Ovis aries: one gene and its partners. The protein of the gene in region 3 interacts with the protein of the main gene of each other region in a pairwise test. Links are inferred from orthologs where the notes say so. Each region holds a gene or a part of one and is shown on either strand. Other genes may lie near its edges.

What was found.
Region 1: the proteins of CEP70 (region 3) and YJU2 interact in a two-hybrid assay, tested with the Homo sapiens proteins (2 studies listed by BioGRID and IntAct). The two-hybrid records come from large-scale screens. The link is inferred for Ovis aries from reciprocal best matches to the Homo sapiens genes CEP70 and YJU2.
Region 2: the proteins of CEP70 (region 3) and FAM133A interact in binary tests that used the Homo sapiens proteins (3 or more experiments, as listed by UniProt). The two-hybrid records come from large-scale screens. The link is inferred for Ovis aries from reciprocal best matches to the Homo sapiens genes CEP70 and FAM133A.
Region 4: the proteins of CEP70 (region 3) and METTL17 interact in binary tests that used the Homo sapiens proteins (3 or more experiments, as listed by UniProt). The link is inferred for Ovis aries from reciprocal best matches to the Homo sapiens genes CEP70 and METTL17.
Region 5: the proteins of CEP70 (region 3) and MFAP1 interact in binary tests that used the Homo sapiens proteins (3 or more experiments, as listed by UniProt). The two-hybrid records come from large-scale screens. The link is inferred for Ovis aries from reciprocal best matches to the Homo sapiens genes CEP70 and MFAP1.
Region 6: the proteins of CEP70 (region 3) and FAM161A interact in binary tests that used the Homo sapiens proteins (3 or more experiments, as listed by UniProt). The two-hybrid records come from large-scale screens. The link is inferred for Ovis aries from reciprocal best matches to the Homo sapiens genes CEP70 and FAM161A.
Region 7: the proteins of CEP70 (region 3) and ENKD1 interact in binary tests that used the Homo sapiens proteins (3 or more experiments, as listed by UniProt). The link is inferred for Ovis aries from reciprocal best matches to the Homo sapiens genes CEP70 and ENKD1.

What each region holds. Positions count from the first base shown.
Region 1 is NC_056058.1:17,612,691-17,616,311, forward strand, and holds part of YJU2 (splicing factor YJU2), read right to left. Parts: intron 3,084-3,621; coding exon 2,902-3,083; intron 1,737-2,901; coding exon 1,616-1,736; intron 1-1,615.
Region 2 is NC_056080.1:140,852,977-140,856,597, forward strand, and holds part of FAM133A (protein FAM133A), read right to left. Parts: intron 550-3,621; 5' UTR 447-549; coding exon 1-446.
Region 3 is NC_056054.1:251,159,176-251,163,366, forward strand, and holds the start of CEP70 (centrosomal protein of 70 kDa), read left to right. Parts: upstream 1-1,279; 5' UTR 1,280-1,369; exon of another isoform or gene 1,370-1,568; intron 1,569-4,191.
Region 4 is NC_056060.1:24,452,293-24,456,569, reverse strand, and holds the start of METTL17 (methyltransferase-like protein 17, mitochondrial), read left to right. Parts: upstream 1-1,470; 5' UTR 1,471-1,501; coding exon 1,502-1,582; intron 1,583-1,726; coding exon 1,727-1,880; intron 1,881-1,966; coding exon 1,967-2,101; intron 2,102-2,778; coding exon 2,779-2,857; intron 2,858-3,111; coding exon 3,112-3,193; intron 3,194-3,506; coding exon 3,507-3,580; intron 3,581-4,038; coding exon 4,039-4,133; intron 4,134-4,277. UniProt on the Homo sapiens protein: Mitochondrial ribosome (mitoribosome) assembly factor. Binds at the interface of the head and body domains of the mitochondrial small ribosomal subunit (mt-SSU), occluding the mRNA channel and preventing compaction of the head domain towards the body.
Region 5 is NC_056071.1:53,265,294-53,269,444, forward strand, and holds the start of MFAP1 (microfibrillar-associated protein 1), read right to left. Parts: upstream 2,829-4,151; 5' UTR 2,690-2,828; coding exon 2,611-2,689; intron 1-2,610. UniProt on the Homo sapiens protein: Involved in pre-mRNA splicing as a component of the spliceosome.
Region 6 is NC_056056.1:46,300,752-46,305,091, forward strand, and holds the start of FAM161A (protein FAM161A), read left to right. Parts: upstream 1-1,486; 5' UTR 1,487-1,571; coding exon 1,572-1,769; exon of another isoform or gene 1,770-1,776; intron 1,777-4,340. UniProt on the Homo sapiens protein: Involved in ciliogenesis.
Region 7 is NC_056067.1:34,775,529-34,779,798, forward strand, and holds the start of ENKD1 (enkurin domain-containing protein 1), read right to left. Parts: upstream 2,805-4,270; 5' UTR 2,745-2,804; exon of another isoform or gene 2,700-2,744; intron 2,519-2,699; 5' UTR 2,504-2,518; coding exon 2,419-2,503; intron 2,334-2,418; coding exon 2,133-2,333; intron 1,592-2,132; coding exon 1,419-1,591; intron 397-1,418; coding exon 271-396; intron 183-270; coding exon 19-182; intron 1-18. Other genes in the region: C14H16orf86 (uncharacterized protein C16orf86 homolog), read left to right, coding at 3,025-3,129, 3,323-3,549, 3,889-4,136, 4,238-4,270. UniProt on the Homo sapiens protein: Microtubule-binding protein which regulates microtubule organization and stability. Promotes the stability of astral microtubules and facilitates the proper orientation of the mitotic spindle.

The DNA of each region.
Region 1 (3,621 bases), on a different chromosome or scaffold from region 3:
ATGCAGCCTCAAAGAAAATATCTTGGTTCTACATCAAAAGGTTGACAAGTGAGAGTGCATGACCCCCAAACCCATCCTCTTCAGAATTCATGGCTTGAACATGGCTGCCCCTGTGAAAGACTACATTTCCCAGACCCCTCTGCATCAGGATGTGGGCAGGTGGTTCAGTTCTGACCAATGGGGTGTGAGCAGAAGGATCTGCTCAACCAAAGGTATTGTTACCCTTAATGTCCTCCCCCGTCCCCAGCCCTTCCCACTGGCCAGTGTGAGCTGCCCTGCATTGAGGGCATCATCCTGGGGATGGCAGGACAATGAGGTGGAGGATGCCCCGGACACCAGGGTCCATATTCCCTGTTCAGCACGGCCATGTACAACTGTTATTTGATAGAAAAGTAACTTCTATGCAGTTGAGACTGCTGTTACTTTGGGTCCTGTCCAGTGGCTGGACTGGTATTTAACTAATACAGACCGGGAACATGTTTTGAGTTATAATAAAGTTTCTAGGATCTCTGCATTATTTACCATTTCCCATTTTAAGCCCCTCCTTCGATTAACCAGAGTGGCCTCAATCACCTTGGATAAGACAGCTGTGGTGAAAAATGCCAGACAATCTCCTACCCCTCACCCCCACAACCCTCTTTTTCCTTCTGCTAATAATAGGACGGGCAGCTCCCAGCCTCCCTTGCAGTTCAAGGCGGCCACATGACTATGTCCAGCCACTGGGACTCCACATTCCAGGGGAGTGGGTGTGGGTGGCATCTGAACCTGGGCCTCCAGGCACTGGCAGGTACTCCTCCACACCCCCTCCGCCTTCCCGCAGCCAGAACCCCAGGGTGCTCTGAGCCAGCTGCGACCACAGAGCTGGCAGCCATACTCCAGGACAGGGCAGAACTAGGAGAAGCGAGGAGCCCTGGATCCCTGAAATGACTGCATGGAACAGGGCTGCCCCGGAGTCCAGCCCAGGACTGTTAAGTGCCTGAGAAATCAACATCTGCCTGAGGTCTCTAAATCCAGCGAGTCTCCTTGTTTCTGCAGCTGGAGAAGGGGTGGAAAACTACAGCCCTGGATTTGCAGGGCAGGAACAGAGTGGCAGACATAGAGAACGGACTAGTGGGCACAAGTAGGGCAAAGGAGAGAGTGGGTCGAATTGGGAGAGAGGCACTGACGTATACACACTACCATGTGTAAAATGGATAGCTAGTGGGAAGCTGCTGTGCAACACAGGGAGCTCATCTTGGTGCTGTGTGATGACCTAGAGGGGTGGGATGGGAGTGAGGGGATACACGTATACACATAGCTGATTCACGCTGTTGTGCAGCAGAAGTTAACACAACACTGTAAAGTGATTATACTCCAATAAAAAAATCATAGAAATAAAAAGAAAACCTCACAGTCCTGGAGGGCTGCAACCCGTCTTTGTAAATAAAGTTTTCCTGGCACATGGCCATGCCTACTTATTTGTACACAATCCACGGCTGTTTAGTGCTACAACAGTGGTGTTGAGCACTATGGCCTGGGCTGTCTGTGGCCTTTCGAGATAAAGTTAAGCCAAGCCTGGCTTACCCTGTCCCTGCTCCACCTGAGAGCACGTGGGAATCCAGGTGGCCCCACTCACCTCGTCCAGGATGGCAGTGGGGTTGGGCCGGAGGGCTGGCTGGGGCTGGGTGGGGGTGGTGTCCTCCTCTGAGTCAGAGTCTTCAAGGAGTCTTCTTTTCCTTGATTCCTCCACTAGCGCCCTGCAGGAAGGAACATGGAACCTGGGGACATGTTTTATTGGGGGAACAGTGACCAGGACCCCCCACACAATGAGGCACCTGGCTTTCCTTTCCTAGCTTCACTAAGTACGGGATGGGGGTGAACAAATATCTTAAAAAAACAGTTCTTTGTCCACTGAACCCAGTGGGGTGGTTAAGCACTTGGAGGCTGGAACCAGCCTGCCTTGATTTGAACCCCAGCTGGGGGACCTTAGGCAGGGCTGTGTGTATGGTTCCTTACACCCCAGTTCCCTCGACCACCATAATGGTGGATCCAAACTCAAACTCAGAACAGTGCCCATATCCAAAACGGGCTCAGTGAACGCAGACTTCTCTCACTGCTAATCCCGGTCTCACTGACCTGCCAACCCAACAGCACTGGCTGTCCACCTACTCTGTGCCCAACTCCCTTCCAGGCCCTGCATGCAGAAGCCAAACCGAGTCCCTGTTCAGATTTTAGGTGAGGAAGGACAGAAGACATATCAGGAAAGGGGTGAATCAGCAAGAAGGTTCCAGAAAGTGGGAGGTGCCCTGCAGAAGCATGAACAGACACAGCAGGCCTGAGGCCAAAGCCTCGGAAAGGCTGGCTTACCAGGCCAGCCCTCAGGGGCAACTGGCCCTGGACTCTGGGGCTCCTGCTACTGATGGGAAGCTCCCTGCCCCAACACTATCTGGGCAAACAAGGGGTGCACTCTCCTCCTGGAGTCTGGGGGCTCGGCCAAGTTGGGCAGGCACCTGTGTGACTGGCCCCCAATGAGAACCCCAGGCTAGGCCTCCCCAGGGACTACACCTCATTCACGCCATCACGTCTATTTTTGGGGGAATTAAGCCCATCTCATGACAGGCAGAAGACTCTGAAATTTTGTGCCCAATCCCCCAGCCCTGCCCCATGCCTTTTCCTGCTGTTGATTTTTCCCTGTAATTTTTCATTCTAATTAAGCACTGAACCTGGGGGTGATCCTGGGGACCCTGACACAGATGCCACGAGAGAGAAAACAAGGTGGGGAGTGGGATATGGGGAAGGCCTCCCTAAGATGGGAGCCATGCAAAGATCGGGAAGCGGGATTCCACGCAGAGGGAAGGGCACTGCAAAGGCTGGGAGGTGGGTGGGCACCCCGGCCCCCTCTGGCCCCAGTGTCCCACTCACGCCGTCTCCCGCTCATCCTCCTCCTGCTCCTGCCTCTGCCGCTCCTCCTCTGACAGGCGGTGCTGCCGCAGCATGGCCTCAAAGTCCACATGGGCCTGCCGCTGGTTCAGGTCTTTGAGCTCCTGCAGGTTCTCCAGGACCTCCATCTCCAGCTTGGAGTCCTTAGTTCTGTTCTCCAGCACCTGGTAGGGACCGGGGCACGGACGTGCGGCTGAGGGCGCTGCAACTCAACCCCCTCTGCCACCCTGCATGGCCTGCCTGACCTTGGGGCGTCACCATGGGCAAGGGAAGGAACCCTCAACCCCAGGCCCTGGATCCACAACACCTGGTCCCTTGGCTGCACCCACTTCATGGCTCAGAACACTGAGGCTTGGAGAAAGGGAAGAGATTGCCCGAGACCATGTGGCTAGTCAATACTGGAACCAGGTGGCCTGGACTTCCAGCCTGGCTCCGTCACTAAGTAAAAATCATATAATTAAAAAAAAAAAAAAAAGACTCCCTCCGTGTCGGACTCTAGACCCAGCTTAAGGGACTCAGGTGATAGGTCAGGCCCGTTCTGGGCAATCCCCCTTTCGTGGGGTCATCTGGGCCATAGTTTAATTTTAACTTGATCATGGGAGTAAGAGCCGTGTATACGCAGTCCTGGGACTACACAGCATGTGTGACTAGGAGGTAGGGTTCTTAGGGACATCTTAGAATTCTACTGACCATTCTCCCCAC
Region 2 (3,621 bases), on a different chromosome or scaffold from region 3:
TCACATGGAGAACTTTCTGATGATTTGTATGAATCGTTCTTCTTTTTCTTTCTCTTTTTTCCTTGTTTCTTTTCCTCATCTTCGGAATCTGGAGAACTGCTTGAAGAATCAGTGCTTGATGAAGAAGAAGATGAAGACCGACAAGATTTCTTCTTTTTCTTTTTCTTTCTGTCTCTTTTTTTGGATAAGCTCTCATTTCCACTTAATAATTTCTCTCTGCTTTTTTCTAGTTCCTTCTTCCAGTTCTCATTCATTTTTTCTTCAAATTCAGCTAATGCCTTGGAGCCTTTCTTTTTATTTTCTAATTGTTTCTTCACTTCTTCCCAGGTAGGCCTTGGTCGATTCAGATAATCTTGTATTGTTGGGCCTGCAGATTGAGATGGGCCCCTCCATCTGGCCATTGCTATAGGATTCATATAGGCCACCCGATTGTCCCGCTTACCCATGGTGCCTGATGGTTCCCAGAGCAGACTCTCAGTTGCTAAAGAGAATAAAGATAGACACCCTCCTTAAATTCTTCATCTGCTGGTATACCAAGAAGGTTCCATTCTGTGAGAGAAGCAGATGGAATGATTACAAAACGCCTTTAATATAAGACAAAGTAAGCACATAAGTTTAATTGTTCATTGTTTATCACATAGTATGGTAAAAAGATTTACAAAATCTTAGAGTTTCAGAAAAAAATAATATATACACAAAATTTTTACATGCTTTAGACATTGTGGTATAAATATAAAATAAATTGTTTTTCATATCTCATGTAGGGTTCTATTATCTAAATTTTAAATAACTTTATTTTTATATTATATGGTACTTACCTTTTTTCTTTCTTTCATTCTGCCTTATATGGTATAATGAAAGAGAAATTTCTGTAGCCAAATAATATACCAGGCAGACCTTCCTCATTTTAGTAGAGTGCAACACAATCCATTCCTTTCTTTGACAGAAACCTAGGAGTCATGCCTGAAAATCCTTCTCCCTCAATTCACATATCCAATTCATTAATAAATTTTGCTGCTTAAACCCCCACAACAAGAGGTCTCATGTTTGTTCACTTCTCTTCAAATATGCTGTCATCAAAATAGTGCAGGTACTGTCACCTGTCGTTGGATTATTAATCTCTATTAGATGCCAGGGACTGCTCAGTGTTGTGCAGTGGATAATCTTATTCAGTCTCTAGACTAATCTAGAGGTTAGTCATAGATCAACGTTCTATGAAGATGATCCCGTTATTATCCTATGATACAAATGAAAAAACTGAAGCTTAGAGAGTTTGAGTAACTTGCATAAAGTGACATAATAAATGGCAAATGGTAAAACCAGGATTTAAATCAAGGCAGCATGAGGGCAAACCCTGCACACTTAGCACAACATTATATTGCCTCTTGATATCAACTTCTTGACAGCCCTATTTTTTGCCCTTATTCTCTTCCCTTTCAGTACCACACTGAAATCAGAAGGATTTTAAGATAATCTAGTCGCTTTATACTTCAATGAAAATCAATCCAAATTCCTATAAAGATCCAATACAATCTGTCCTACTTATAGCTCTTACATTTCAACAGTTTTCTCAATTCTATCTTTTTCAGTTTTCTCTTGGTTTCTGAAACATGCTAAGCTTCAAGCTTAGCCACCTTAGCCAGTTTTAGCTCATCTTCAGATCTAAGTTTAAAGTCAGTTCCTCAGAAAGGCAACTATTAGGTTGAACTATATAAAATCACCAATTACGTGGAACAAAAATACTCAAATACTAGCAATTTCACATGGGTCAACCTTATACTATGTTGCTTCTGTATCTATCCCTTACACTCATTATTCTGTATAACAGTTTCTTGCCTCTTTTATTCATAGCACTTAAAAAACTGATGATTATTTTCTTTATCTATTTGAATGTGTATTTGTGTGTGTGTATGTGTGTGTGTGATGCATGTGTGTTCACGTGCATATGCATATGTATATTCACTTCTAAATATAAGGCCAAGAAGGGTAAAGGTCACATTTGGCCTGTCTTCTAGCCATGATGTTCCCAGTACTTTACATGGCATCTGGTCCACACTAAGTACTCAATAAATATTTCTCAATAATAAACAAACAAATGAGTGGATTGATGGATGGGTAACTCTGTGAGAGAGGTGTGTTCAGAGAAGGCTCCTGAAGTTGGTGATGTCAGTACAAGGTTTTAAACAATAAATAGGAGTTCACTGAAGAAATGAGGAACTGAAGGACATTCTAGGCAGAAGAAACAATACATGGCTTCTGCACAACAAAGGAAACTCTAAGCAAGGTGAAAAGATAGCCTTCATAATGGGACAAAATAATAGCAAATGAAGCAATGGATAAATAATTAATCTCAAAAATATACAACCAACCCCTGCAGCTCAATTCCAAAAAAATAAACGACCCAATCAAAAAATGGGCCAAAGACCTAAACAGACATTTCTCTAAAGAAGACATACAGATGGCTAACACATGAAAAGATGTTCAGCATCACTCATTATCAGAGAAATGCAAATCAAAACCACAGTGAGGTACAATTTCACACCAGTCAGAACGGCTGCGATCCAAAAGTCTACAAGCAGTACATGCTGGAGAGGGTATGGAGAAAAGGGAACCCTCTTACACTGTTGGTGGGAATGCAAACTAGTACAGCCACTATGGAGAACAGTGTGGAGATTCCTTAAAAAACTGGAAATAGAACTGCCTTATGACCCAGCATCCCACTGCTGGGTATACACACTGAGGAAACCAGAATAGAAAGAGACACGTGTACCCCAATGTTCATCGCAGCACTGTTTATAATAGCCAGGACATGGAAACAACCTAGATGTCTATCAGCAGATGAATGGATAAGAAAGCTGTGGTATATATCCACAATGAAGTATTACTCAGCCATTAAAAAGAATACATTTGAATCAGTTCTAATGAGTTGGATGAAAGTAGAACCTATTATACAGAGTGAAGTAAGCCAGAAAGAAGAACACTAATACAGTATACTAACACATATATATGGAATTTAGAAAGATGGTAACGATAACTGTATATGCAAGACAGCAAAAGAGACACAGATGTATAGAAGAGTCTTTTGGACTCTGTGGGAGAGGGAAAGGGTGGGATGATTTGGGAGAATGGCATTGAAACATGTATAATATTATATAAGAAACGAATCACCAGACCAGGTTCGGTGCATGATACAGGATGCTTGGGGCTGGTGCACTAGGATGACCCAGAGGGATGGTACGGGGAGGGAGGTGGGAGGGGGTTTCAGGATAGGGAACACGTGTACACCTGTGGCAGATTCATGGTGATGTATGGCAAAACCAATACAATATTGTAAAGATATTAGCCCCCAATTAAAATAAATAAATTTGAATTAAAAATAAATAAAGTGAAAACTTGGAAAAATTTTAAAAAATAAAATTTGGATTTACCTGGAAAAAAAAAAAACGTGAAAAAAAAAAGAGAGACTTGAGAGATCACCGTATTTAGTGTTGATGGAGCCTAAAGTGAAAGAGGGCAGTAGCAGGAGGTAAGGCTGCATAGGAAGTAAATAGCCTGATCATAGAGGCCTTCTTAGGTCATTTTAACATCTTAGATTTTGTCCTATAGTTGTTAGGAAGCCAA
Region 3 (4,191 bases):
TTTAACTTAGGTTTAATCGTACTGGGGACTATAATGGTTTATCCAAGCTAAACCTAAGTCGGTTTTAAAAATTACTAAGGTATTCAGTTTCTTTTCAGCAAAGCTCTAGGTAAGGCCAGCTATTGAACAAACTTAACAAAGAGGTGTTGACGGTGTCCGCAGGATCAGCACCGGGACCTCTGGCAAAGTCTGTCAGTTAGCTCTCTGAGCCAGGTGTTCCCAAATGTGAGGCACAAAAGACGCGAATAACTTTTCCAAGGAGCATTTTGCAATGAGTACCGCAAGCCTCTCTACACAACCAAAAAACCAGACGAAACAGTGTTCAACGAATCGTTTTTTGTAATAGGTAAGAACCAAAAACCACCTGTTTGTTCACCATCGTGAAGATAATCCGCGGAGTGAATCACAGTCCTGTCACTCAGCAAGCTTGGAGCCCGGTCAGGCGCGGAAAACCTGGCACCAAAGCACCCGTTCGCGGCCAATAAAAACGATGGAGACAAACATCAGCCGCGCGCAGACGCGGGGGATGTATTGGTAAGACAAAGAAGCCAGGCTGCAGCACTTTGTGATCCGAGTTCTGCAAAAATACAGCCGGCTCATTTTTGCAGGGAAAAGGGCACTGGAAGGAAAGACACCTTAATGCGAGCCCGGTGCTCCCCGGGAGCTTCCCGGTGACGTCTGCTCCACTTTTCCGACTGCGACAAAATGAATTGATAGTCAGGCAGAGGCCGGAGCCGCGGGTTCCAGGGCCTGGCCGGGCAGGAGCAAACCGCCGCCCGGCCGGGTCTCTGGGAGACGCCCGGAGACCCCTCCCCACCTCCCGCGCGGGCCTAGGCCTCACCGCGGGGTCGCACCGCCGCCAGGACACCGCCCACTGCCCAGCACGCCCGCCGCCGCCGTCGCCGCCGTCGCCGCAGCCGGGAGATGGCGGCCGCTCGCACCGCGGCGGGGGCGCCGGGCGCTGCGCACAGGGCCTTCCGGGCCGGCCGCGCCGCCCCACCTGGGCAGCGAGGCTCACCTGGGCGCCGTGGGCCTCTGGGGGCTCAGGGCCCAGAGACCGGTGGGTTCCGCCGACTGGACCTCCTAGGCCCTTCACCGAGAACCAGACGCAGCCTCCGTGGAAGCGAGAGCTCCGGGCGCGCCGACTGTTTGTCGCGCTTTAGGTCCCCGAGGTGCCCAGCGCCGACCGCCGCCCGCCCCTCCCCCGCGCGGCGACCAGCCCCGCCCGCGGTCCGCGCGGCAGGCTTTGCACTCTTACTCCTTCCCGAGACGCCTCCGTAAGAACCAGCTGACAGCGGGCGCTGGCTGGACGCGGGAGTGAACCGAGTGGGCAAAACCAGACCTTGCATGCTCTGAAGCCACGGGGCAGGTAAAAACGATCCTAGCATTGTCTCCTTGAAGCTCTGTATGGCTTCTGATTACTCCTAGAAAGATCAAAACTCGTTAGGATGGGCATGAGGCCCCGTGTATGATGTTGGCCCAGTCTCCCCTGGCTTCGTTTAGATAGATCCTCGAATGATGTGAAGTCCTTCAGCCCAGGGCCTCTGCAGATGCTCTTCCCTTTGCCTGGACGCTCCTCCCTGCCTCTTCCCTTAGTTAACTTCCGTTGAGATTGAGATTGTTCGTCAAATGTCATTTCCTAAGAAAAACTATCCTAAGGCTTGCAACACCTGGAATTCTCAGTTCTGTTCAAGTTGTGCAAATATTCGTGTAATCTTTGTTGAATGTACAGCATAATAGGGTTTCCTCGGTGGTTCAGCCGTAAAGAATCTGCCAGCAATGAGGGAGACCTGTGTTGGGAAGATCCCCTGGAGGAAGCACCACAGCCCACTCCAGTATTCTTTCCTGGAGAATCCCATGGACAGAGGAGCCTGGCGGGCTGCAGCCCATGGGGTAGCAAAGAGTTGGAGGGAGCATGGCTCCCTCGCAGCTTAATAGTAGGCTGAGGTCTGTGAAGTCAAGGACCACTGCTGCTTGGTTCTCACTGTAGCAGCTCCCACGTCTGCACAGTGCAGGCTCCCACTATGCTCTGATAAGTGTTGTTGAATGAATGAAGAGTAGACCTGAGTAATGTTTCAGGTGGCCTTGATTTTCATTAAGGAAGAGACAGCAATCACTGCAGAGGAGGGGATGGGTGAGTGGGCCATCTGAAAAGAGCAGTGAGTGGTCCCCGTGAAAAATGGGTTCAGCAGCAAAACAAACATGTGAAAGGGTTCTCTGGGGGCTCTGAAGATTGGAGGGCAAAGGGACATGCAGGTCCCAGTGTGTATTTCTTCCCTCAGCCTGGTGTTAAGGTAAAGGATTGTTTCACCTCTGGGATTGGTAGTGAGGATGCTGAGCAAGTATCTGAGAGAACAGCAGTTGAGAAACAATAAAGAAGAATCTGTTGATTAGGTTAACTAGTCTTCAAAGTAATGGACTGAATTCCTAGGGAAATTATGTTACAGGGATTCTGCTTAGAGAGCACTGATTTCTTGTTTGCTCTTGTATTGAAAGCTCCCTGGAGACAAAGACTTTTCATATTTGTATTTTCTTCTGCACTAGTGTCTTGAATAGAGACTTTTCAATAAATGATGATTGAAAGAATGAACCAGGGAGATAGAGAAGAAGGCAAAAGGCCCCAGAGTGGAAATTTCCAGAAATAGATGAAGATGCATCCCTAATTCCTTTTTCTTGTCCTTAGATCTTCTGAGAAACACTTGTGAATTGTTGGGTGAGGGCCAGGAAACCCTGGTTGGGCAGTAGCTGAAAAATATTGTTTAGTGAAGGATCATATTTTCTTGTAAAACTTTGGGAATCAGAATATCTTTTATAAGACCAATAAGGTATAATTTATTGAATGCTTGCTTTGTGCCTTGTATAGTATTGCCTGCAGTTCTCACAACAGTCCAGTAGTTATTCCCATTTTACAGAGACTCAAAGCCCTACAGAAGTTGCAGGGCCAGCCCATGAAGCCAGCCTGTAGAATTTTAGAAGGTCATATTATCAGAGTCTGCTGTTATTCAGATCCTGTCTTGGGGGTCTGGGGAGTCCCTAGCTTAAGGGCCCCAGAGTGCAGAGGGGCTCAGCCCACTCATCAAGTGCATTCAAGTCTGTCCCCTGAATAGGTGAGGCAGTCTCATTTTGCCGCTGGCTTATTCTGCGCCAATGTTTCCTTCTTGGGTATAGTTTCTGGGGCATCTGGAATTAAGGAACTTACCAGTCTAGGCTGTCTTTTCTACCTACGTATTCCCTGGGCCCAGCACACTGGAGGTAGGCATGGCCACTTGTTATCAAAGAGGCTTGTTAGGAAAAGAAAGTGTGAACAAAACACCATGAAAGGTGTTGACCTGAGTGTGAAACATACTCACCTGGTGATCCTGCTCTTGACTTTATTTCCACTTGCAGATTGTTTTCTTGTTTCCCTAGAAGTGCCTGGATGTTTGTTGCTCTAGCCTCTCAAACTACTTCTCACCAGCCCACCCACAGACGTCAGTGATTTATTTTAAGAGAGCGCCTAAAACTGCTTTCATTCACAGTAGTCTATGCTTTCATTGGGCCTCCTTTGGAAAAGGGAATTGTTAATGAATTAATGGATTTTCTGAAATTACTTCTTAAACAGCAAGAATGGACATCAAAATTAAAGGGAAAAGTTACATCACCTGATACCTACAGGTTTAAAACTTCCCACGTGCCCTTCCAGTATTGGTCCAGCGTGACTGTTGGCTCTGTGTGAATGGAAGCTGCGCAGAGACGTTCAAGAGCCCAGGATTCTGACTCAGCGGACTGTGTGTCAGCGTGAGTCCAGTAACCAGGCTCCTGCTCCAGCCAGGCTGCCGCTGCTTGGGCCTCTATCCTTCAGCACAAAGAGCCTCTGGCTCTCCCGACATAAAACACAGAAAGTGGAGAAGGATCAGTCAAGATGAATTTATAAACTTCACACCAGAAACATTTGACAGTTTTAGGAGAAAATAGATTTTGTTCTGAGTCATCTGGAGAGTGGGGTTTATAGGTTCACCCTTACTTAGACCAAAGAACCAAGGGAAGGCACCTTTAAAGTGTCTAAGGAGCATTCCGAGGCTTGTGTTTCAATTACTTAAGACAAAAATCTGCATCTGGTTTACTTTGAGAAATTTCCAGTAGTCATGTATGTATGTGAGAGTTGGACTGTGAAGAAGGTTGAGCGCCGAAGAATTGATGCTTTTGAACTGT
Region 4 (4,277 bases), on a different chromosome or scaffold from region 3:
GGAATACACGCAATCAAGCACAAATTTTTGCAAAAGGTTGCTGCTAGTCATGTGAAGGTTACTGCTAGTCATGAAGAGCACACATCACCATGAAAGATGCTGGTGCTTTTCTAGATATGAGAAAATGCAAAAATTGGGCTCATAAAAATAATCTCCTGAAAATAAATGGACTTTTCTGGCAGTTTTTCCCAGAGCACAAAGTGCCTCATTCCTGATCTCCACCCTGAAATCCTTTCAGAGGATGCTACAGGTCAGCAGCTACAGCAGGTCATCATTTAATCCTCATAGATGTAGATGGCGGTGGTGGTTTAGTTGCTAAGTCGTGTCTGACTCTTGCAACCCCATGGACAGTAGCCTCCCAGGCTTCTCTGTCCATGGGATTCTCCAGGCAAGAATACTGGAGTGGGTTGCCATTCCCTTCTCCAAGGTATCTTCCCAACCCAGGAATCGAGCCCAGGTCTCCTGCATTGCAGGCAGATTCTTTACCAACTGAGCTACCAGGGAAGCCCCCAGATAGAAAGTACCAATTTGTCATCAGCACTTGACAAATTGGCACTTGCTAACTTGCATTCTATGTACCAATACTACCAGCAGAGCATATGTTTAAAGGTGAAGATCAGACTTAGATTGCCAAGGTTTAGAACTTGTTCTCACCTAACAAGCTCTTGGATCTCAAGCGGAATATTTAGCCACCTGAACTTTCACTTTCCTTGGGTGCAAAATCTATCCTTTAGAAGTATGGGGACTAAATAAGGTAGTACCATATAACAGCGCTTGCCACACTACCTGTCACATAAGGTTCTCATGGTAGCTATTTACCTGGCTTAAAAGTACTGGTTTAATATTAAGAGAAACTAACAAGTAAGAAACATTAAATCTATTATCTATTATTCCATCAATTTGGTCGCCTAAATCTGGCTTCCCTTGATCATCTTCCCATTACTGCAGTCTCTCCTGGAGAAGGAAATGGCAACCCACTCCAGTACTCTTGCCTGGAGAATCCCATGGAGGGAGGAGCCTGGTAGGCTACAGTCCATGGGGTCGCAAAGAGTCGGACACGACTGAGCGACTATACTTTACTCCATTTCACACAGGAGGTAAAAACTCTAAGACTTCAGTGTTCTCCAGAAGGTGAAAGAAAGAACACTGGTAGTTAATACAAACACAAATCCTTCGCCGTCCTGTGACGCGTTTCTGGCGAACCCAGCATAGGGTCAGCCCATACCTACCTAACCCCGCCCCTCCAATTTCTGGAGGCGGAGACAAATCACAACGCAGGGTGGAAGTCACCTAGCTTCCGGCTAGCTACGCTGGAATTGAGGTGCACAAACGGCCTCCAAGGCGATTTACAGATCGATTGTTTATTGGCTACTAGCAAGCACTCGCTCTCCGCATTGGCTGTTACTGCCCGGCGCCAATGTTCGCGCAGGATGTTCGCTGCAGCTAGTGAGAGTGACAGACACTGCACCTAAATTTCCGGTTCCGGTTCACCGCTGGCGCCATGGCGACCGTTAGAGGGTCGCGGTATCTGCTGACAATAGGCAGATGGCGCCGCAGCTTTGGAATAGCGCCCCAGTTCCGAGTGAGTACCTATTTTCCCTGCTTTCAAAAGAAGCTTTGGACCTCAAGAACAGCTCCTCTCCGAGGAGGTGCGCTTTCGGCAGCTCCTCCTTTAGCCTCCCGCAGCCATCCTCTGTGCCCCCTATTAGCTTTCCTTTTTCTGCAGGCGCTTGCTGCCCTCGTGCCCGGCGTATCCCACGTGGATAACAAGTCCGATTTCCTGGGGAAGAGGCCCCATCGCCGGCACCCTGGCATCCTGCAGCTGTCATGCGTGCGGCTGCCGCAAGGATTGGCTGAAGCCGCGCAGTTACTGCTGCTAGGTGAGTAAAGATGGGAAATGGAAGCTCAAGAAGCGAAGATTGGACCCTGCGTACAAGTGATTCCTCTTTGCATCTTTGGTCCATAGAGAGCTCGATGCCCAATATGGAGAAACAGGTGCAAGCCCTAACCAATTATCTCTGGAGCCGGCATTTACCTGTAGAGCCAGAGGAGCTACAAAGACGGGCTGTTCTTCTTGAGAAAAAAATCCTGGAAAACGCAGGTAGGTCTTTTCAAAAATAAAGAGTAAGCCAAATAGAAAGAGCAGAGGGAAATGAAGAGCTAGTAATAATTCTGCAGCCTCTTAAATAGATACTGCGATTTCTTATTTGACTTTCTAATCAGAGTAGTTATTCATAATGTTGCCTTTCTAAAAGAAGAAAAGTAATTTCAGAGATTGCCTATTAAATTCAGGGCTTTAGTAAAGATCAATGAGTTATTCCCTGACTTCTTGTAGTACCTGGTTTGTAGTAGGCACTCCGTAGGTAAAATAGTACTGAAGTGAACACAATTGTAAGACAAGTTTTTCAAGCCCCTTTCCTTCCTATAGGAACTTTGGAGACATCACATTATTAAATTGGGGGGAAGTGAAGAAATCTACAAAGTACTGTCTATCCTATCCTTTAACTTTTTATTACACTTGCTTTTAATACAGAACAAAACCTGTGAGATAGAGTTGGTTGAATTGAATGAATTGCTGTTAGAGGCAATATATTATCTGATATACTATGGTGGTGGTGGTCATTATTATTCTTACCTGAAACTCTTCTCTAGTTTGGCTTCTCTCTTAAGCATTTTCCATGTGGGAATTGGTAGGGAATGGCAGGCAGTAAATTCAGATATTGTATCTGAGCCCTGTTCTTCCTAGGTCCTTACTTCCAGTGCTTGTTCTTACCCCAGACTCATGTCAGACAGAGAAACATCATGAAGAAGTCCTGCGTGCCTTGCGCAGAACTACCTATCATTGGCAAGAATTGAGGTAAGGGAGACTAGAAGGGCTGCAGAAGAAGGAAAAGTTTGGCTTTTGAGAAGGAGAGTTGGGGAAATACAATTACACCATTTAGTGTGTGAAAAGGCAATCTGGTTTATAAGCCTCCCTAAGACTTGTCTGTGTTGATCAGTGAAAGGGTTGAGCTGGAAGAGCCCTTTGCAAAGATTTCATTTCCTAAAAGTCTGGAGGGTAGCTGCAGGATAGAGATTAATTCCCAGTGGTATGTCTGATTTTTCTGGCAGCTACAATGAGGGACTGAGCCTGGTGTATATGGCAGCAAGACTGGATGGTGGCTTTGCAGCAGTTTCCAGAGCTTTCCATGAGGTGAAATTCCCTCAACTTCCAACCAGAAACTTTACTATCAGTTCCCTTTTTCATAAAGTAATCTGGGGCAAGATTCTTGGGACATTACATGTGCATTTTTTTCGAGAGGTTGTCTTTATCCTCTGAAAGGAATTTTTGACCCAAAAAAAGGTTTAGAATCACTGTTCTAAGACCTTTCTATTCTATAAGGCATTTACACTGAATCTTGACATTCACAGCTCATTTCCTCTGTTGCGGTCCCCTAATTCATGTTTACCAAGACCCTAAATAAGTGTCTGTCTTCCCCACTGTGGGGTATTGAATATTTCTTCAGATCCAAGCTCGCCTTCCAGACTTCCAGCCACAAACCTTGATGGACTTTGGCTCGGGTACTGGCTCTGTCACCTGGTGAGTATCTTTCTCTGTCTCTGTCAGTTCCAACTCTAGAGAGTTAGAGCTAGCTTATGCCACGTCAATATCAAGACACTGGAGAACCAAAGGAAGAAGAGAAAATTGGAACTGATGTGTTTCTTCCCTCAGATTAGACAAGGCATGAGAAGGTATATAAATTAGGGTCAGAACTTAAAGAAATGTCAAGTGAAAAAACCCACATTTAGAAGGATAAAAAAGGAAAGGAATTTGATCTCGGACAGGGATTTACATGTCAGCAAGATTTTTGTGTGTGTGTTCATATAGTTTTTGAGTCTTCTTAACAGTTGTAGATGAAACAAGAAAATAAGATTGCTAGTTTTTCCAACTATTTTAACATAGCGCTCTGTTTCCTCAAGGTTGGGTTAGGGACAGAGGGGTCTCTTGTAGGAATAACTTTGTCGTAAGAACTGAAGATTTATTTTTTGCCACTTTAGGGCTGCTCATAGTACTTGGGGTCAGAGCCTACGTGAGTATATGTGCGTGGACAGCTCAGCTGCCATGTTGGAATTGGCAGAAAAGCTGCTGAAAGGTGAGGACAAAATGTAAGGAAGGGCTTTTCCAAAGTTGAAGGCATTTGCAAAGCAAAGGAGTACCAGAAAGGGTCTTTTACTGGGGAGTAGAGGAGAGGCCGGAAAGTTAAAGATGGGTCTGATGCGATGACCCTGTTGAAGAT
Region 5 (4,151 bases), on a different chromosome or scaffold from region 3:
CCCGAGTAAATCAATAAATGAGAGTCCGTTGGACTGCAAGGAGATCCAACCAGTCCATTCTGAAGGAGATCAGCCCTGGGATTTCTTTTGGAAGGAATGATGCTAAAGCTGAAGCTCCAGTACTTTGGCCACCTCATGTGAAGAGCTGACTCATTGGAAAAGACTCTGATGCTGGGAGGGATTGGGGGCAGGAGGAGAAGGGGACGACAGAGGATGAGATGGCTGGATGGCATCACGGACTTGATGGACATGAGTCTGAGTGAACGCCAGGAGATGGTGATGGACAGGGAAGCCTGGCGTGCTGTGATTCATGGGGTTGCAAAGAGTCGGACACGACTGAGCGACTGAACTGACCTGTGCTCTATAATTTTAATGTAATTTCATTAAAAGCTGTTCTCAGGCTGATTCTAAAATCATATGGAAGAACAGGAGGTCAAAAAGAGCCAAGACAATTCTGAAGAACAAGGTGAGGTAAAAGACCTTAACAGACACCTTGCCAAAGAAGATATACAGATGGCAAATAAGTATGTGAAAAGATGGTCCACATTTTGTGTCTTCGTGCATGCTCTGTGGCTTAGTCGTGTCCGACTCTGCGACCCCATGGACTGTAGCCCGCCAGGCTCCTCTGTCCATGGGGATTCTCCAGGCAAGAATACTGGAGTGAGCTGCCATTTCCTCCTCCAGGGCCTCTTCCTCACCAAGGGATCAAACCTTTGTTTTCTTCATTGGCAGTAATTTTTTTAAACCACTGAGCCACCTGGGAAGCCCTTATATGTCTTCAGGGAATGCAAATTAAAAAAAAAAAAACAACAATGAGATGTTGCTACACACAGAATGGCCAAAATCTAGAGCTCTGACAATACCAAATGCTGGTAAGAATGTGGAGCAACAGGAACTCTGATTTATTGTGGGTGGGAGTGCAAAATGGCACAACCACTTTGGAAGATGGTTTGGTGGTTTCATACAAAACTAAGCATACTCTTACCATATGATCTCATTTCCGCTCTTTGGTATTTATACAAAGGAGCAAAACACAAAAACCCGCACATGGATATCGATTGTAGCTTTGTTCATAATTGCCAAAACTTGTAAGCAACCAAGCTGTCCTTCACAGAGGTGAATGGATAAGTAAACTATGGTACATCCAGATGATGGAATATTACTCAGCAACAACAAAACAAAAAGAGCTATCAAGCCATGAAAATACATGCAGGAAACTTAAAATGCATATTACTAAGTGAAAATACTGTGTGATACCATAATGATGGATATATATCCCGATACATTTGTTCAAATCCATAGAATGTACATCAGAGTGAATCTTAATGCAAACTACGGACTGAATGATAAATGATGTGTCAACGTAGATTCACACTACCCTAGTAGAAATTTTTACACAAGTGCACTAAAGAGACATATTTAAGCACTATTTGTAAAAGGGAAAAAAGTAACAAAATGACAACTAAATGTCCCTCAACAGGGATCAAACTGTGGTTTAATTATACAATGGAACTTATAAGCAGGTAAAGGGGCTTCCCTGGTGGCTCAGAGGTTAAGAATCCACCTGCCAATGAAGGAGACACCAGTTCTATCCCTGGGTAGGGAAGATCCCCTGGAGAAGGAAATGGTAACCCACTCCAGTAATCTTGCCTGGGAAATCCCAAGGACAGAGGAACCTGGTGGGTTACAGTCCCATGGAGTCCCAGAGTCAGACAGGACTTAGCGACGAAACAAGCAGTTAAAGTGAATGAATGAGATCTTCAGGTATCCAAAGGACACTTACCAAAGTCATGCTGACTTAAGGAAAAAACAACAACAAAAGGCAGAATGCACAAAGATAGATACTGTATATTTAAAAGATAAAAAGAACTGACATTATTTTCCAAATACTTTACTGAAAAAACTCAGACTTTCAGTCTGACTCCCCAAACAAGTACAGTTTTCCTTCGTCCATCTGCACTCATTAGAATCCTACCCATCCTTTAAAGATCAAGTTAAATATTCCAATCTGAAGAGATTATTCCTTCTCTGTCCTCCCAAAGCATTTCGTTTATATCACCTATGTGACAGGTTTTATAGGTGGGAAAGACCATAAATTTGTTCAGAATGTGCCTCTTTTTTGCATGTCTCACATCTACAGACTATGAGTTCCTTACACCACTGTTTTACACCATTTTGTATTCAATGTAACAAATACAGTCACTGCGATGGCTGAAAGGGATAAAAAGTTTTAAGATAGAGTTCTTGCCTCAAATAGGTTATTGATTTACGATGTAGTAGACGGAGGTGGACAAGTAATTACAATCATACGAGTTATAAAAGCACCATAAACAGACAATGGACAACAAAATGTATGCTACACAAAGCCATGCAAATAGCAGGCATTCACTATATTAGCTTAACTTATTGGTGGACGAGAGAGCACACAGGTTCTACTAAGGAGATGAGTTCTAAGTAGCAACGCGATCGGATCCGAGTTTGACGGGGAAGTCGAAGAAATAGGGGCAGGGTCTTAAGGATCTCTGGGGATAAGGTGGTGGACCCGGGGTAAGTTTGGAATATCCTGACGAAAGAGATAAGATCCGACTGGAAAACCGCTCAACACAGTACCTTTCTCATTGCGAACCGGGACGGCCCCAGCCGTTGACTGAATGGGCGGTTGTTTCATGAGTGAGCTTGGGACCGACATGTTGACGACAGCGGCGGTGACTCCCGAAACTCGACTGATTTCAAAGTGAACAGCTACAACGTCAACGAACAGATAAAACCCTCTCCTCCTAGGACCACTTGAAACTGCTCCGCGACTGATAGAAACACCACCTTCGACTGAGCTAGAAAAACCGGAAGTATACGACCAGAGGATTGTGGGATTGTGGAGGACTTCTAGACGCCTACGACTAGAAGGTGGAGTCTGTTACTGCGCATGTCCATAGGCTGCCCCGGTGTTCTCAGTCTCGCAGTGCTTGTACGCGTCTTCCCCGCGGGAAGTTGGTTCCACTGGGATTTGCTGTTAAGACCCTGCGACGAGGGAAGTCTCAAGTAAAGGTTTTGTTCGTTAGGTTGGTCTAAACCCGACTATTACAGGGTAGTGATGAATAATGAAACTCAGGAGATAATGAACTGCAGTTTGTAAAGATTGTCAAATTTGAAAGCTCAGAGTTTAATCGGAATAGAAATCCCGTTAACAGCACTTGATTAGCTCAGTTGATGAGGCTGAGCGGATTGTGGTGAGGTATTTTTTGGTCACTTGAGGGCAAGTGGTGGTAATTTAGGCCAGTGGCAAGAAAAAAAAAATCCCCCAAGCAGCTTAGAATAGTGTCTGAGATCCGAACACTATTAAGCGTTCCAGTTCTGTCCGTTTCTGGAGACTGCCTATTATAACATATTCCTGGCTGGAGTGTTTGTATATGAGTCCGTAAGTAATTATTAAGCACTGGTGTTTACATCACTTAGATCTCTCTAAGGAGTATGGAATATTGTTAAAAGGCTCGTGTCCTCCAGGAACTTGAATTTTATTTAGTAAGTCTTAATGGGAGGCCCGGAGAAGGCAATGCCACCCCACTCCAGTACTCTTTGCCTGGAAAATCCCATGGATGGAGAAGCCTGGTAGGCTGCAGTCCATGGGGTCGCACAGAGTCGGACACGACTGAAGTGACTTAGCAACAGCAGCAGCAATGGGAGGCCTGGCGTGCTGCAATTCATGGGGTCGCAAACAGTCGGATACGACTGAGCGACTGAACTGAACCGAAAGGGTTTATAATAGAATAGGAACAAATAGCCCCCATTTTCTAGGTGGATCGTGTTTAAAAACAAAAACAAAAAACAGGCTAGTTGGCAGAACGCTGTAGAAAAGATTTTATAACTGCTGTGTACGGAGAGAAGGGACAATGTGAGCAAAGTCTTGAAGTCCAGAAATATGGCATATATCAGGCGCTGTGAAAAGTGATTTTATCAGTAATTTTTGAGTCCAGGAGTGAAAAATTGCTGAAGGGAACTTTCCTGAAGGTACTGTTAGTAGCATTACTTCTCAAGTGGTTTCACCTGTTCTACAGTTGGGCCTCAGCTGGGAGAAGAAATAAAATTGGGCAAGTCTCAATCAAAGAACAGTGCAGGACACAAGTTTTGAGCTACGAAGGACTGTAAAAATAGAG
Region 6 (4,340 bases), on a different chromosome or scaffold from region 3:
TATTTCAATACAAAGGTGCAAAAATAATTCTTCCTACGATGATAAGATTTGTCATTTTCTTCTTGTAGATCTGTCCATTTCTGCTCTATATATTTTGAGGCTATATTATTAGATATCTGCAAATTTATGTATATATAACTGAATCACTTTGCTGTACATAAACTAACACAACATTGTAAATCAACTATTTTTCAGTAAAAACAGTTTAAAAGATAACTGCAAATTTAGAATATTGCTCACGAGTGGAAGCTTTTTTGCTCTTCTACATACACATACAATATGTCCTCCACACTTACTGCTTCTTTTCCACTCTCTTCTAATGTTCTATTTTCAGTGTTTCAGCATGCTGATTTGGGGTCGGGGTCAAATCACAAGAGGGTTACGTGCAGCCACAGAACTCGCTGCATGCAAACGCCTGGACGTCCCTTCTGTGGTCATTTGCAGCGTCCATACCTCATGGGCTTCCAACTCTAGCTTTGGCTAAGAATCCAGCCGGTGTCTGTTCCAGTGGTCAAAGCAAATCCTCAGCCAAAACAAAGAGCAGCCTGCAGAAAGGTGAGGGAGTAGGGTGTTTCGCAAGTGTTTACATTCCTGATGGAAGAAATACTTGGTTCAGACTTCAGAGAAGGGGTCTGGATATTGCGCGTTGCGTACCCTAACTTTGTGGTGGTGACAGCAGGTTGTAGGGCCAGGAGTGGGGGGTGGCTGGGGCCTCAGCCTCAGGAAGTAGGGGTTTGGCTGACACTGCACCACGAAGCGACTTAGCATCATCAGCAGCAGCACCACCACCACGCCTGATATTTTAAGGCTAGGCTTCTTTTACAGGCGCTTGGTGTAGCGGCAAGGCGTCATCTGAAGCGCCCAAATCCCAAGTGGGAGACGTTGTTGGGGGTGAGGTGGAGATGAGGCTTGTTTGTGGCTACTGGTGGGCGTTTACACCTTCCGATCCCCACCACTATAAAGCGGAGGAACCCAAGCAGCAAACGTTCGGGTCACACACACCTGCACTCTCAGTCACTGGTGGGTGGACCAGGCTCCACCTTCCTCCAGATTGGTCGACTTCCGTTAGCTTTCAAGTCAGGGTAGAAAGTAACTCACGGCTTCCCATTCTCCGGCTCGCTGGAGAGCCATGTTAGGTCGCGGGATGCAAACGTTACCATTGTCCCGAGACCGCGACACGATAACACGCCCTGCTTTCTTCTGCCGCCGCCACCTCCTCCAAACATATTATTTCAATGAATAAAAAGCCCCACAGCACAAATCGTTTCATTAGTGTAATGTGAGAAGTCTGCATTTAGGGGGTGAAATGCGAAGAAGAGGGACCAGGTGCCCTATTCCCCCGACCAATCCTCTAAACCAGCAAAGACTCAATACTGACTCCCACTATCCAAGGGGCCCCGCGGCGGGCGCCGGTTTTAAGTGATTTTTGGCCCCTCGCGGCCCCTGTAGCGTCCCTAGTTACCGGGCCCCTAGTAACCACCACCCTAAGCAAAGAGCAATCGGGCGCCTGCGGCCACGCCGGCTTCCCCGCCCCGGGCCAGCGCGGGCGCTCAGGCCTCGGCGGCGCGGTGATGGCTGCTTCGCACCGAGCGGCGAAGTTGGCGGCCAGAAGTCTCCAAACCCCGGTCAATCCCAACACCGGAGCGCGGGTCGCCCAGTACGAACGCAAAGACCCTTTGAATTCCCTGTCGGCGGCGGCGGCGGCCATGGAGGAAGAGGAGGAAGAAGAAGAAGAGAAAGAGGCGGCGGCACGGCTGGCGCGGGCGCCGGTAATGCAGGGGAGGGCAGTGGGGTGGGGCTGGGCGCCGGGTGCAATTGGAGGCTGATCGGCGACCCCCGGTGGTGAGGCGCGGGCTGGGAAATGCGAACCCTGTCCTGACCCGTACAGGTGAGCCTGGCCCACCAAGTCCTCTGGGTCCTCACGGAAAATGCTCGAAACCGAGGCGTTGAAAAGTCTTTTAACCAAAGAGGTTGTTGTAAAAATTTCTTGGAGGGCATTTACGTTACGCTATTTCTAATGAAAAGTACAGAAATTTATTCTTATGCTCCAGCAACTGTTGGGAGTAGGTATTTTCTTTTCTTTTCTTTTTTTTTCTTTTTCCTTTCAACTCGAGGAAAACTGTGCTGTCCTACAGAGAATAATCCAAAAAACGCAAGTGAATCAGCTGTGTTGTCAGGTGTGTTTTGTTGTCACTTCAATGTCTTGGTTATTAGTGCGTCTTAATACAATACATGAGAGATGATGGTTAAAACCAGCAGGAGTTTAGTGGGGAGATCAGAAACAGAGTTAAGCCTCCAGAGAAGCAAATTACTGAGGCTCCAGTGTTGCCACACGGCTCTTCAGAGTGAGGAGAAACAGCTTTTTCACAGATCGATTTTCAGTGTCGAGTGTTTTGTGAACACCTGTCTGCCAGGTAGGGGGCCAAGTCTGCCATCTGCTCTATTCCCTTAAAAGATGAGAACTTTGAATTTTAACCAGCAATCTGCAGGTATAAACCTTCTTAACCCCAGGTAAAGATTCTTTTGTTATTTTTAATATTTATTTATTTGGCTGTGCTGAGACTCAGTTGCCTCCATGCAACCTTTGTGTGGATTCTTTAGTTGTGGCATGCAGAATCTACTTCCCTGACCAGGGATGGAACCCAAGGCCCTTGCATTGGGAGTGCAGAGTCTTAACCAGCAGAGAAGTCCCCCCAAATTCTTAATACTGTTTGCTCAAAGCATCTTAGGTTAAAAACATGTAGTCTAGTGAAAGTCACTCAGTCATGTCCAACTCTTTGCAACCCCCATGGACTATACAGTCCATGGAATTCTCCAGGCCAGAATACTGGAGTGGACAGCCTTTCCCTTCTCCAGGGGATCTTGTGGTCTAAGGCTATTAGAAATCACTGGATATTTTGGAATTCTAATTTCTTTAATCTGCACTAGAAATGGTAATGAGAAAATCTGTAGTAACACCTTTTATGGGCAGTATTTTACCAACAGATAAACTGCTTGAGGTTATCCAGAGTAAAGCAGATTCAAAGACCCTGAACTTCAACCAGAATGAGTGACCTACAACCAAATTCATTCATGATAAAGCTTCAAATTTCAATACCCAATGAAGGAGGTGGACTGATGTTGAAAAATGATTTGAATGAAGAGAAGAATTTGGAGTCCTGGGTTAGGATCTGTTCATTTGCTAGTTAATATTAAGATGTAACTTCTTTCAGTTTGTTTCCTTATCTATAAAAGAGCTCTAAAATAACTGTCTTTCTTTTCTCACTGGGGTATTATGAGAACGAAATAAGAGCATATGTCATAGCTAAAAGACAGTTTGTATAAATTAGTAATAATAATAACAGCTGCCAGTGGGGCTGTTATTTGAACACCTATCCAAAAGAGAACAGGAGATTAAGTTCTCTTCTGGCTTGCTGTAGTGGAAAAGTCAGTCATTTCTGTGGTTGCAAGTATACTTCCAGAGTACCCTGTAAAATTGCAAATTTGTATTAGAAATATTACCTTAGGAGAGATCAGTTTATCTAATAAGCTAGTTTCTAAGGGACAGTGTCTCACTAAAAAAGAAAAAAGGAAGCTAAGTTTAACGCTATTCTGAGACCACAGTACTTAAAGGAACCAAAAGGAAATCTGGATCAGCTGCCACTGTAGTAGTGGTAAAGAACCCCCTGCCTGCCAGTGCAAGAGATGTAAGAGACGTGGATTTGATCCCTGAGTCAGGAAGATCCCTTGAAGAAGGGAATGGAACCCATTCCAGTATCCTCGCCAGGAAAATCCCATGGACAGAGGAGCCTGGCAGGCTACAGTCCATAGGGTCGAAGAGTCTGACACGACTGAAGTGACTTAGCGTGCAGCACATAGCAGTAGACCTGATGGAGACACTGGGGTGGGCAGACAAAGCACTGGAAAGGCAAGAAAGAAAGTGCAGCAGACAAGCTTTACCTTCCTCACAGTTTGGCTTGATATCTCACCTTGATTTTTAAACGCTAGTTTCTCTCAACTTTGTCGTCTATAAAATGGAGTTAACTCAGCTTACCATAGCCATCACACAAAATTGATTATGTAGAACTAACTGTCATAGTTCGGTTCAGTTGCTCAGTCATGTCTGACTCTTTCCAACCCATGGACTGCAGCGCACCAGGCCTCCCTGACCATCACCAACTCCCGTAGTCTACCCAAACTCATGTCCATTGAGTTGGTGATGCCATCCAACCATCCCATCCTCTGTCATCCCCTTCTCCCCCCACCTTCAATCTTTCCCAGCATCAGGGTCTTTTCAAGTAAGTCAGTTCTTCACATCAGGTGGCCAGAGTATTGGAATTTCAACATCAGTCCTTCCAATG
Region 7 (4,270 bases), on a different chromosome or scaffold from region 3:
GGGAGCAGTAGGACCTACTAATGGGGCACGTGACCCTTCTGCGTGGCGTTGTAGTGCTCCTGGGCTTGCCGTTGCTGCTCCAGCACCTGTGCCAGGACTTGCAGCGAGCGAGAATGCCGCCGGGGGGCCCTCTTGGCAGTGCGGGCATTGTGCATAATGAAGTCCACACCCAGACCTGGGGCCTGCGGGACATGGCCAGCATGATGAAACAGCACTGTGTGGTGCCCCGGAATCCCTGCCCCACCTCCCAGCCCCCACATATCCTCTCACCTTAGCATTGGGACCTGGTAGGGTTAGCTGGGGACTGGGGACACGGGGTGGTGGGAGCCCGGGGCCGCAACGGGAATGGGCCCGCAGAAAGTGGGCTGGCTCAGTTCTAGAGGCAGGGCCGGGCTCCTGGAGGCCAAGGCAGAGCGGGGGGTGGTCAGTCAGGCTGAAGTCAGGGTCTCAAGCTGTAAGACCATGCCTCTGTCCCTCCTGTCTTTCAGGATCTTTCTCTATCACCAGTCCTCTGGACCTGGCCTCCTTCCTCTTGAATAAGTACTTCCATCACATCAGCATTTAAACCTGTGTGTTTTTCACATCTCTCAGAAAACATATTTCCCTCCCTCTACCTCAGTCCTGGCTTCAGTCATCGTTCTCTTTTTCTCTCCTTCCTAGTCAAGCTTTCTGGCTCTGTCCCTACCAAGGCCACCAACAGCTGGTCTCCAAGCCCCCAAATCCAGGGTCACTTCCCTGGTTTCACTATCCTCAGCCTCGTCCTCAATAGCTCCTGGGTCTCACTTCTGAGATCCAGACCTGATTCTCCATCTGCCTCTTGGACACATTCCCACTCCCTGGAAGCCCCACAAAAGCTTCAGCTTCAACACACCCACATATGACCTTGTCTTTTTTTCTGTCCTACTTCTCCTTCTCAGACCCCTGGAAAGAGAAGTGGCACCACTAGCTACCCCAGATAGAATCTTACCACCATACATACCCCTGCCCTTCCCATTGTCCTTAGAAATAAAGGTTTAAAAAAATGGATTTATGTGGCCCTTTATGATGTGGGTCCAGCTGACTTCTTAGCCTAACCTCATGTTCTTCCTCCCTCATAGTGAACTGAACACAGCATCCCCACTGCCCACACTCCTAAGTCCCTGGTGTTAGGACCAGGGACCCTGGAACCACAAGGTTCCATTTCTATAAAATGTTCTCCTCTATTCTCCCCTTGCCTAATTCCGACTTGCCCCTCAGAATCACCCAGCTGTCATCACTTCAGAGAAAGGCCACAGCCCCACTCTGCAGCAGGACCAGCTCTTCATCCCCTGTGACCTCAGCCCACTGTGGGTTTCCTCCCTCCTCATAACTCAAGTCAGAGTATAATGTCCTGTTGGCCAACAAGACGGGCAACACTTGGGGCTCCCTGAGGCAGGTACCTGCAGCTGAGCCTTGACACGCGACTCCACTTTGTCATACTTGGGTGAGCGCCACAGGGCCTTCAGGGGCCTGGATTGGGCCTGCTCCTGGCTGTGCTCCTGCTCACGGAAGCGCCTCTGGATTTCCCTGATCCGCCTCATGTTCTCCTTCTCATGGTCTTTAGGGTCCTTCCCTGGAGAAAAGATGTTGCCCTACATACAGCCCATACAATCCAACTTACCCCAGTGGACACACAAGCCCACACCCTGCCTCCCTGACATACTCTAAAGTCCACCACATAACCTTGTTCTCGTCCTCACACCATAATTATCTTCTGTTTCTGATGATTTTATACATATTTGATTATGAAGTATACTAGTAATCACCTTGCATATCCTATTCACCTCTTCACTTGTTTTACTGTCTCCCACCTTGATTCAATGATGCGCTTCTTCGACCTTGTTCTCCTAGCACCCATAGGGCCTGGAGCACAGCAGACACTCAACAACCAACCATGCATAAATCCATGAAGCTGAGCTACGGGCTTTTCCGGGGTATGCCTCATTTAGTCCTCTCCTGCGAAGAAGTCGTGCATTTCCCGCTCCTTCTACAGTTGGGGAAACAGACACTCTGAGAGGTAAAGCCTGAGCCCAGAGCAGGGAAGGGGAAGCAGCCGTCTTTTTATCTGTTTTGACTTCAGAGCCGCCTCGCTGTCCGTTCTGACCAGAACTTACTCTTGGGAGAGGCCCCTGGGCCTAGGGAGATACCCCCGAGCTGCAGCAGCACACCACCCACGCCGCGACGGCCACGCTCCAGGATTTCTAGGCCTCCCGGACGGATGCGAGGGGCGCGGGGAGGGGTGGCGTCTAGGTCCGGGTCCGTATCCGTCGTCAGCAGGTCCAACTTCGGCGCGTTTCCCTCAAGGCGCCCTTGGGCTGAGAGGCCAGACGGGGCAGAGTGCGGAGTCAGTGGTGGAGCTGGGCCCGACCCTTGCCAGGCCGCTTTCACTCCCTAACTCACCCGAAGACGGCCTCCGGTAGTAGTCCGGACAGAGCGTAGGGTCTGGGGGGATGGGCCCCGAGATGCGGGACGGACCCTCACACATACCGCCGCCGCCGTCCTGCAAACGTTGCACCTGAGGCCTGCCGGGCTACGCGTCTCTGGCTCCAAACCCGGCTTCTCAGCCCAGTGCCTCCTCCCTGGCCCCGGGTCCTAACCTCAGCCGTGCCCTGCCTGCGTTCCCGGCCCCCACCCCGCCTCCCGGCCCCGGCCTGCGCTCGCCACCTCTGCTCTCAGCCCACCTCTCAGTACCGTTGGCAGGCTTCTCACTCGGGCAAGGGGCTCACCAGAGCGGTTTTGCCGCCCACTGCCGCCACCCGACGGGTTTGCTGTTGCCAGGCAACAATGGTTTCCGTCCGTGAGGTCAGGGGCCAATGGCCTTGGCGCAAAGCCTTCTGGGGCCTGTAGTTCCAGCTGAGGGGGGAGCAGAACGACTGTCAGTTGCCCTTCCCAATCCGGTCCTCTCCCGGGTCCGCTCAGGGTCTACTAGTCTGGCCCCTCAGGATCCGCCCTCCATCCCCAATGCCCCTCAAGCAACCGTCGAGGAAGTGCTGATCCGCCGCAGCTATGGACTCCGCAGGGGCTGAGAAGCGGCCAGGGGCCCAAGAAGGGGCAGCCGTGGGGCAGTCACAGCTTACAGAGATGCCTGGTGGCCATGCTCAGAATTCTGAGGTGACCATCGGGCTGTCTAACCTTCAAACACTTGGGTCATAGCGCTTTAATAGACCAAAACTGCCAGGCCAGGTTCCACAGGCTGGGAGGGGCATGGGCTGGTGCCCTTCATCCAGAGTATTTAGAGTCTAATGGCTGGTCCCTGTATCCTTTACCTGGCCATGGTGACCAGTTACCTGTGTGTCACCGCTAGTGTCCAGTGATGGGAGACCAGGGCCTGGTGCCAGCCCATGAGGCCTGCCAAACCCAGGATGAAGATAAATGTCCAATAAGATCCACCTCAGAGCCAAAGATCCAGGAGAGACTCAAGCTGGAGGAAGACAGGCACAAACCAGAGGTGGAGGCCCTGGAGGAGAGAGGTCCCAGGCCTACGGCCTCCACTGTGAGGCCCAGTCATGGTCCGAAGAGGAAGCCGGTCAAGTGAGGGGGCTTTCAGAGGGAAGAGACTGGGAACTGGGGAGGTGGTGTGGGGGTGGCTCATACCCCAGTTGGATTCTTAAATGGGGCCTTACAGTAGTGTCCATCCTTATCCCCTGACACCACCATCATTCCTCACCTCTGCTGACCCTCCAGAGCCCTGATGTAGGGAACATGCAGAGCAAAAGTCTCAAGGCCTGGTAGGGGACTGAACTCCCATGATCTCTGGGTCCCTGTCCAGTCCAGGGCCTCACTGACCAGGAAAAGGACAAGGATCACGGCCTGGGGAGGTAGGCAGGCAGGACTGTTCCCTAGGACAGGGCACAGGAGCCAAGGCTGCAGGCTGGCTCCTCAGGCCTCCTTGTTCCCCAGCCTCACAGGCCCGAGCCACCAAGCCCATCCTAGGGCAGAGAGTGAGTTGCCACAGGGGCTGTCGCTGCAGAGGGAAGAGCCGGAGAATAATCAGAATGAGCCCTCACCATCTGCCAAACAGCACAAAAAGACCAAGAAGCGCAAGAGTCTGGGAACCCCAGTGCTCCCAGTGGTGGCCAGCACGGTGTCGGCACCCTCAGTGACCTTGGGGCCTGAGCGTGAGTGGCATTTCCTGAGCCTTCCCTTTTGTCCCAGCCAGCTGGACCCAACACAGCCCAGCTTGGCACTCCAGTCATTGCCCTGCCCTGGGTTCTTGTAGGAAAGGCCCAGCGCCTGCGGCCCCTGTACCAGT